Schizosaccharomyces pombe: one gene and its partner. Changing the gene in region 1 together with any one later gene gives a genetic interaction. Each region holds a gene or a part of one and is shown on either strand. Other genes may lie near its edges.

Evidence for each region. Genes that interact genetically often act in the same process or in processes that back each other up.
Region 2: of cdc25 (region 1) and clp1, changing one enhances a phenotype caused by changing the other (phenotypic enhancement), as found in Schizosaccharomyces pombe (4 studies listed by BioGRID, with this or other methods).

What each region holds. Positions count from the first base shown.
Region 1 is NC_003424.3:480,533-484,132, reverse strand, and holds the start of cdc25 (protein tyrosine phosphatase (M phase inducer) Cdc25), read left to right. Parts: upstream 1-1,759; 5' UTR 1,760-1,847; exon of another isoform or gene 1,848-1,947; 5' UTR 1,948-2,592; coding exon 2,593-3,600. Other genes in the region: hxk1 (hexokinase 1), read left to right, coding at 1-686.
Region 2 is NC_003424.3:4,769,720-4,773,319, reverse strand, and holds clp1 (Cdc14 family protein phosphatase Clp1), read left to right. Parts: upstream 1-1,603; 5' UTR 1,604-1,660; coding exon 1,661-1,709; exon of another isoform or gene 1,710-1,764; coding exon 1,765-3,329; downstream 3,330-3,600. Other genes in the region: box H/ACA snoRNP complex subunit Nhp2, read left to right, coding at 174-638. UniProt on the Schizosaccharomyces pombe protein: Protein phosphatase which antagonizes mitotic cyclin-dependent kinase cdc2, the inactivation of which is essential for exit from mitosis. To access its substrates, is released from nucleolar sequestration during mitosis.

The DNA.
Region 1 (3,600 bases):
ACTTCCCTGAAGATATGAACATGATCATCAACTGTGAATGGTGCGATTTTGACAACCAGCATGTTGTCCTTCCTCGTACCAAATACGATGTTGCTATTGATGAAGAGTCTCCCAGACCCGGTCTTCAAACGTACGAGAAAATGATTGCTGGATGCTATTTGGGTGATATCTTGCGTCGTATTCTTCTTGACCTTTATGAACAGGGAGCTCTCTTTAACGGTCAGGACGTTACCAAGATTCGTGACCCCTTGGCCATGGATACCTCTGTGCTCAGCGCTATTGAAGTTGACCCCTTTGAGAACCTTGATGAAACTCAAACCCTATTTGAGGAAACCTATGGTCTCAAGACCACCGAAGAAGAGCGTCAATTCATTCGTCGTGCATGCGAATTGATTGGAACTCGTTCTGCCCGTCTTTCTGCGTGTGGTGTATGCGCCCTTGTTCGTAAAATGAATAAGCCATCTATGATTGTAGGTACTGATGGTAGTGTCTACAACTTATACCCTCGTTTTAAGGATCGTCTTGCTCAAGCATTTAAGGATATCCTTGGTGAGGAAATTGGCAGCAAAGTTGTTACCATCCCCGCCGAAGACGGTAGTGGCGTAGGTGCTGCATTGGTCAGTGCTCTTGAAGCCAAAGGCAAGGCCCTCACTTCTGATATTCTTGCCGAGCATCTTAAGAATTAAGTCCACTCATTGTTTTTAGGTTTTACGGATACTCATTTGATTTTGTGTCACTGAACTCCACGAAGTGTTCGACAAACTGTTTTATACTGCACTTTTTATTTGTTTCATACTCCATCTTTTTGCGTACAATTTGTTCCAGCAATTTTTATGGTTACACTTTTCTTTGTCTACTAATCACGTATCAGGGCGTTTTTACAAAAAGGTGCTCCACCTGATAAAATATTTTCTTTTTTGCTCTAGTGTTTCTGTGGATACGATATCTGCCTCTGATTGCTAGAATACTTTAAATAAAGGTTAGAGTTTTGTTATATTTTGTATGTTGAAGTGTAATAATAGCGGTATCTTTGTTGAAGATATCCGAGTTTAACAAGACAACTGGCTATACTATCTTGCGAAATATGCCTACTACGACAATAATGGTATCAACCCATAGCTACATAACATCGGGAGACTTTCAATGAGTTACACCCTCGTTTTCCAATTCGGAATGACAGTCCGAGTCCCGAAGTAGAGAGATTCATCGTGTTACGATTATTCGCTAACACCTGATAACATATTTTATCTCGCTGCTCGTGTTACATATCAGGAGTGCGGGTATGAGATTATGGGGATTTAATGGCTGTCAAGCAGGTTACCTGACGTTTGTTCTTATGTATTTGTTTACACATACACAACATTTGGCGTTGCTAGGGCAACAAATCAGACAAACTGCGGTGGATCGAATAGCTGAGATGTATGGACATGTAAACAAACATACAAGATGCAAAAATTTATGTGTTTTCATCTAGTTCAATGTTGTTAATGAAATGATTATTTGCTTTTATATAATTAATAGATTAAGAGGTGACATATTGTAGCTTGAAACGGCATTATCTACGCAACTAAACTATACAACAATAGTTGTCATGGCTGAGGTGTTGGCTAAGTATTACAGCTTACAGTTTAACTTTGCTTTAATCATGTATTTGTTTTTATTATTGTTTTCTGTTACTCGAATTTGTTGGTTGGTGTTTTATTGTTGTTGTTACCTTTGCTTTTTTTTCCTCTCGGAGGCAGAGCTGAGATTTCTCTCTACCCTCAACTATCTACAGCGCTTCAAGCTCTTCTCCTTTAGATCAAGTGTATTACATTGAAAATATTATTCTTAAGAATACCAAAGTTGTAAGTTTAAAAAGAACTTGATGCCTGTTAGTTTCGGGCATCCTTCTCTCCTCAAGTTGGATTCCTGTTGATGCTTCTCAAGTACTAACTGCTGGTTCAGTGATTTTTTGAAACGTCTATAATACAATTGCTTACGCTTTTTAAGGCAATTAATAGGATTCTTGAAGTTATTTGTTCAAGAAGCCTTTATATGGTAAAGTGGGGGGTTTATTACTTGTAACGAACTTTGAGTCTGAACTTTTGGGTATTCTGTTGTTTTCATATTAATCAACTGCTTTCTTTTAACTTTCTTTTTTCTTTCATTTTTTCTTTCAACGACAGTATCTTTTATATTCTATATTATAGTCGTGACCGTTGGTGCTCATCTATTTTTGTCTCATTAATCTCTTTTTTTTTATATACTTTTATTCGGTCTTCCCGTCGTGTGGAGTCTAAACTTACTTAAACTTCTTTCCGGTTTCTTTTGTAAAGGTTGGTTTTGTTTAATATTTGGCTATATTGCTTTCATCCTGTCTTTCTTTTAGTTTTCTTTTTGTCTCACTTTGGCATTAATATCTTAAACCGGTCTTTTGACTCTTCCCTAGGATTTTCCTTTATAATTTATCTTACTTGCTCTATTGATTTCTCATTCTGAAACTCAATCTTTTGCAGTCGTGTCGTCCCATTAGTTCTTTTTGCAGTGTACTTGGTTTAAATTAAATTTACCATTTTGTCTGCTTTTAATAATAGTTAAACCTCAACTAAAATGGATTCTCCGCTTTCTTCACTTTCCTTTACCAACACTCTATCTGGCAAACGGAATGTATTGCGTCCTGCTGCCCGTGAATTAAAGTTGATGTCGGATCGCAATGCAAATCAAGAGCTGGATTTTTTCTTCCCGAAATCCAAACACATTGCCTCAACATTAGTGGATCCTTTTGGAAAAACTTGTTCGACAGCTTCACCTGCATCTTCCTTAGCTGCTGATATGTCAATGAACATGCATATCGATGAAAGCCCTGCCTTACCGACTCCTCGTCGTACGCTCTTTCGATCTCTTTCTTGTACTGTAGAAACCCCTCTCGCTAACAAGACTATTGTTTCACCTCTCCCGGAGTCACCCTCGAATGACGCTTTAACCGAGTCCTACTTCTTCCGGCAACCTGCATCGAAGTATTCCATTACCCAAGATTCCCCACGTGTTTCCAGCACTATTGCTTACAGCTTTAAGCCTAAAGCATCAATCGCATTAAACACCACCAAAAGCGAAGCTACTCGTTCGTCATTATCGAGTTCTTCTTTTGATTCCTACCTTCGTCCTAACGTCTCACGTTCTCGATCATCAGGCAACGCACCCCCATTTTTGCGATCCAGATCGAGTTCCTCATATTCCATTAACAAAAAGAAGGGAACTTCTGGTGGACAAGCTACCCGCCATTTGACTTATGCCTTATCCCGTACCTGTAGTCAGTCGAGCAACACGACCAGCTTACTTGAAAGTTGTCTTACTGATGATACGGATGATTTCGAATTAATGTCTGATCATGAGGATACATTTACGATGGGCAAGGTTGCTGATTTACCAGAAAGCTCTGTTGAACTTGTTGAAGACGCTGCCTCTATTCAACGTCCCAACAGTGATTTTGGTGCTTGCAATGATAATTCTTTAGATGATCTTTTTCAAGCTTCACCCATTAAACCTATTGATATGTTACCCAAGATAAATAAAGATATTGCCTTTCCTAGCTTGAAAGTTAGGTCCCCTTCTCCGATG
Region 2 (3,600 bases), 4.3 Mb from region 1:
TGGAATAGTAGGCATTATGTCAATTTAAGGAATATTACCAAAGCTGGTATCTTAAAATTACGTATTATACAGATGGCTTAACAGACTATTATCCGCTACATAGCGTTACTGAAAAAAGTTTTATTGGGATCATCTTTTGGGCTTCCAAACTTATCCTTCTCCATTTCTTTATCATGGCAAAAGATAAAAAAGACCATAAGCATAGTGGAAGCACCGAAGATGAGTATGATTCATATCTTCCTGCTTTAATGCCAATTGCTAAGCCTTTAGCTCCTAAAAAATTGAACAAAAAAATGATGAAGACTGTCAAGAAGGCTTCGAAGCAGAAACACATCCTTCGTGGGGTCAAAGAGGTTGTAAAGGCTGTTAGAAAAGGAGAGAAGGGTCTTGTAATTCTTGCTGGTGATATTTCTCCCATGGATGTTATATCTCATATTCCAGTATTATGTGAAGACAATAATGTCCCTTACTTATATACTGTTTCCAAAGAGTTGCTTGGTGAAGCATCAAACACCAAGAGACCTACTAGCTGTGTTATGATTGTTCCCGGTGGAAAAAAGAAGGACATGTCTAAAGTTGAGGAGTACAAGGAAAGCTACGAGGAAATTATAAAAGAAGTACCTGCTCTTGAAGTTTAATTGTTCAATATCTAAAAGATGCTTAGCCATTTAATGTAGATTATTATATACTATTAAAATTTGGTATTTATCCTGGGATTTAACTTTTGGTATATCATGTCTGTTTGCTTGATAGTAAGCGAAAAGAAGTTTTGCTTAATGGTCGGTTTTAAGGTTTCAAAAAATTTCCTTTTTAATCTAGTGTTTTATCATTCTTTCTTATGCCCTAGTATTTTATGGGTTTAGACTGGTTTGCGAGCAAACTAATCACTATACCTCCAAAACTTTGTTAGCAATAATATCGTATCATTTACCAACTTATATGAGAATGGTATATCGCTGTAACAGCGATGAAATATCAACTGATTTTTCCTCAAATTTCGTTTACGCTGATCGTTTCATTACGGATTTAGCCTGTGTTTATTTCTAACTAGTTGCGCAAAAAAGTTTTATTATTCGTTTAGGTTGCTATTTAGTATTCAGAGGCGGCGTGTTAGAACCAGTTTACAACTAACTTAAATTTCACCCAACGTCGTTCTTACCATTATAATGTTTACAAATATTATGCTTTCCAGTGCTATCCATAAATGATAGATTAGGGTAGCTTTAAAGGTCCGGCAATTATATGGTTATCTATCCGGATTTTGTTATCGGATTTAAATATATTTGCTAAAACAAATCGAATTTCAGATAAAAAAGTTGGGTTGTATTTGTATGAGCAAAAAGTATTCTGTATGTTTATCATAAATTGATGTGCATTTTTACTTACTTTGTAAGATAATGATTATTGTTGTTTATTTACTATAGTGTTGCTAAAAGTTAATGTCTTTTTTTTTTTAATAAAGAGAAAAGATTAAATGTCAACATAACGTTGTGTATAGTTTAGAATCCACTTTTGTCTTCATTTGTTTCGCACCCCACATATTTTCTTGTGCATTATCATCCCTTCTATTTACAAGGACCACCAACACCCAGGTACACAATTTAGAACTCAACCATTACGGGTTTGACGAATATAGACGAGATTCGCAATTACTTGTCTGATGGATTACCAAGATGATGGGCTTGGTGAAATGATTGAGTTTTTGGAGGGTATGCATGAAGTTTAACTCAAATATCTCGTAAAATTGATTAACATGTTAAATAGACAAGTTATACTACACATCATTGTCGCAACCACCTAAAGCCGAGTTATATCCTCATATGCATTTTTTTACTATCGATGATGAATTGATCTACAACCCTTTTTATCATGACTTTGGTCCGCTGAACGTGAGTCATCTTATTAGATTTGCAGTGATAGTTCATGGTATCATGGGAAAACACAGACAAGCTAAGAAAAGCAAGGCTATAGTTTTATATTCTTCTACAGATACAAGGTTGCGTGCAAATGCCGCTTGTTTGTTAGCTTGCTACATGGTGTTAGTACAAAACTGGCCTCCACATCTCGCATTAGCCCCTTTAGCTCAGGCAGAACCTCCTTTTTTGGGGTTTAGAGATGCGGGATATGCTGTTTCAGATTACTATATCACGATTCAAGATTGTGTTTACGGACTGTGGAGAGCACGAGAGAGCAGCATACTAAATATACGTAATATCGATGTTCATGACTATGAAACTTATGAAAGAGTGGAGAATGGAGATTTTAATTGGATATCTCCTAAGTTTATAGCATTTGCAAGTCCTATTCAGGCTGGTTGGAATCATGCGAGCACACGTCCAAAGAAACTTCCTCAACCGTTTGCGATAGTTCTCGATTATTTCGTCGCTAATAAGGTCAAACTGATAGTTAGGCTTAATGGACCTCTTTACGATAAAAAGACTTTTGAAAATGTTGGAATTCGACATAAAGAGATGTATTTTGAGGATGGCACAGTTCCAGAGCTTTCTCTTGTCAAAGAGTTTATTGACCTTACCGAGGAAGTAGAAGAAGACGGTGTGATTGCTGTTCATTGCAAAGCAGGGCTCGGACGTACTGGATGCTTAATTGGCGCATATTTAATATACAAACATTGTTTTACTGCTAATGAAGTTATTGCTTACATGAGAATAATGCGTCCTGGAATGGTTGTAGGTCCACAACAGCATTGGTTACATATTAATCAAGTTCATTTCCGTGCATATTTTTACGAAAAGGCGATGGGAAGAGCAATCCAACAGGCCACCGCTGCGGAACCCTTAGCTACTCCTCCTCGCCATCCATTGAATGCTACGAATGGTACCTCTCAAAGCAATATCAGTACTCCTCTTCCAGAACCAACGCCTGGCCAACCGAGAAAAGTTTCTGGACATAATCCACCGTCGGCGAGACGTCTCCCTTCAGCGTCCTCTGTCAAATTTAATGAGAAACTTAAAAATGCTTCCAAGCAATCAATCCAAAATGAGAACAAAGCGTCATACAGTAGTTACGAAGATTCAGAAATACAAAATGATGATGAAACACGGACTGTTGGAACTCCAACTGAAACAATTTCAGTGGTTCGCTTGCGTCGCTCATCAAGTCAAAGCAATATCGAACCAAATGGAGTTCGTTCTCCGACATCCTCACCAACTGGTAGTCCAATTCGACGTACAAGTGGAAATAGGTGGTCTAGTGGGTCTAGTCATTCTAAAAAAAGTGCTCAGCGAAGTGTTAGCATGTCATCACTTAACAATACTTCTAATGGCCGTGTTGCTAAACCTAAGCCTTCTAAAAGCCGGCTAATTTCTTAATAAACCTGTAATTACTGGTTTAAATGGCAGTTTTTACATTCCTTTTTTTCATATAAACTAACTTTGAATTATACTGTGTCAACCCTGCATAATTTTTCATTAATTAACTTTACAAATATTCCCTGATTTAGCGCACCTTTGCGCGGTGGGGATCACCACCATTAATGTCTTAGCTATCCTTTTTGTTAACTAACATTCATATTTCTTTGGAAAAAACTTTGGCTTTTTGCAAGCCATGGTTAATGATTTTAATCGAGAAATTGTTTTGGTT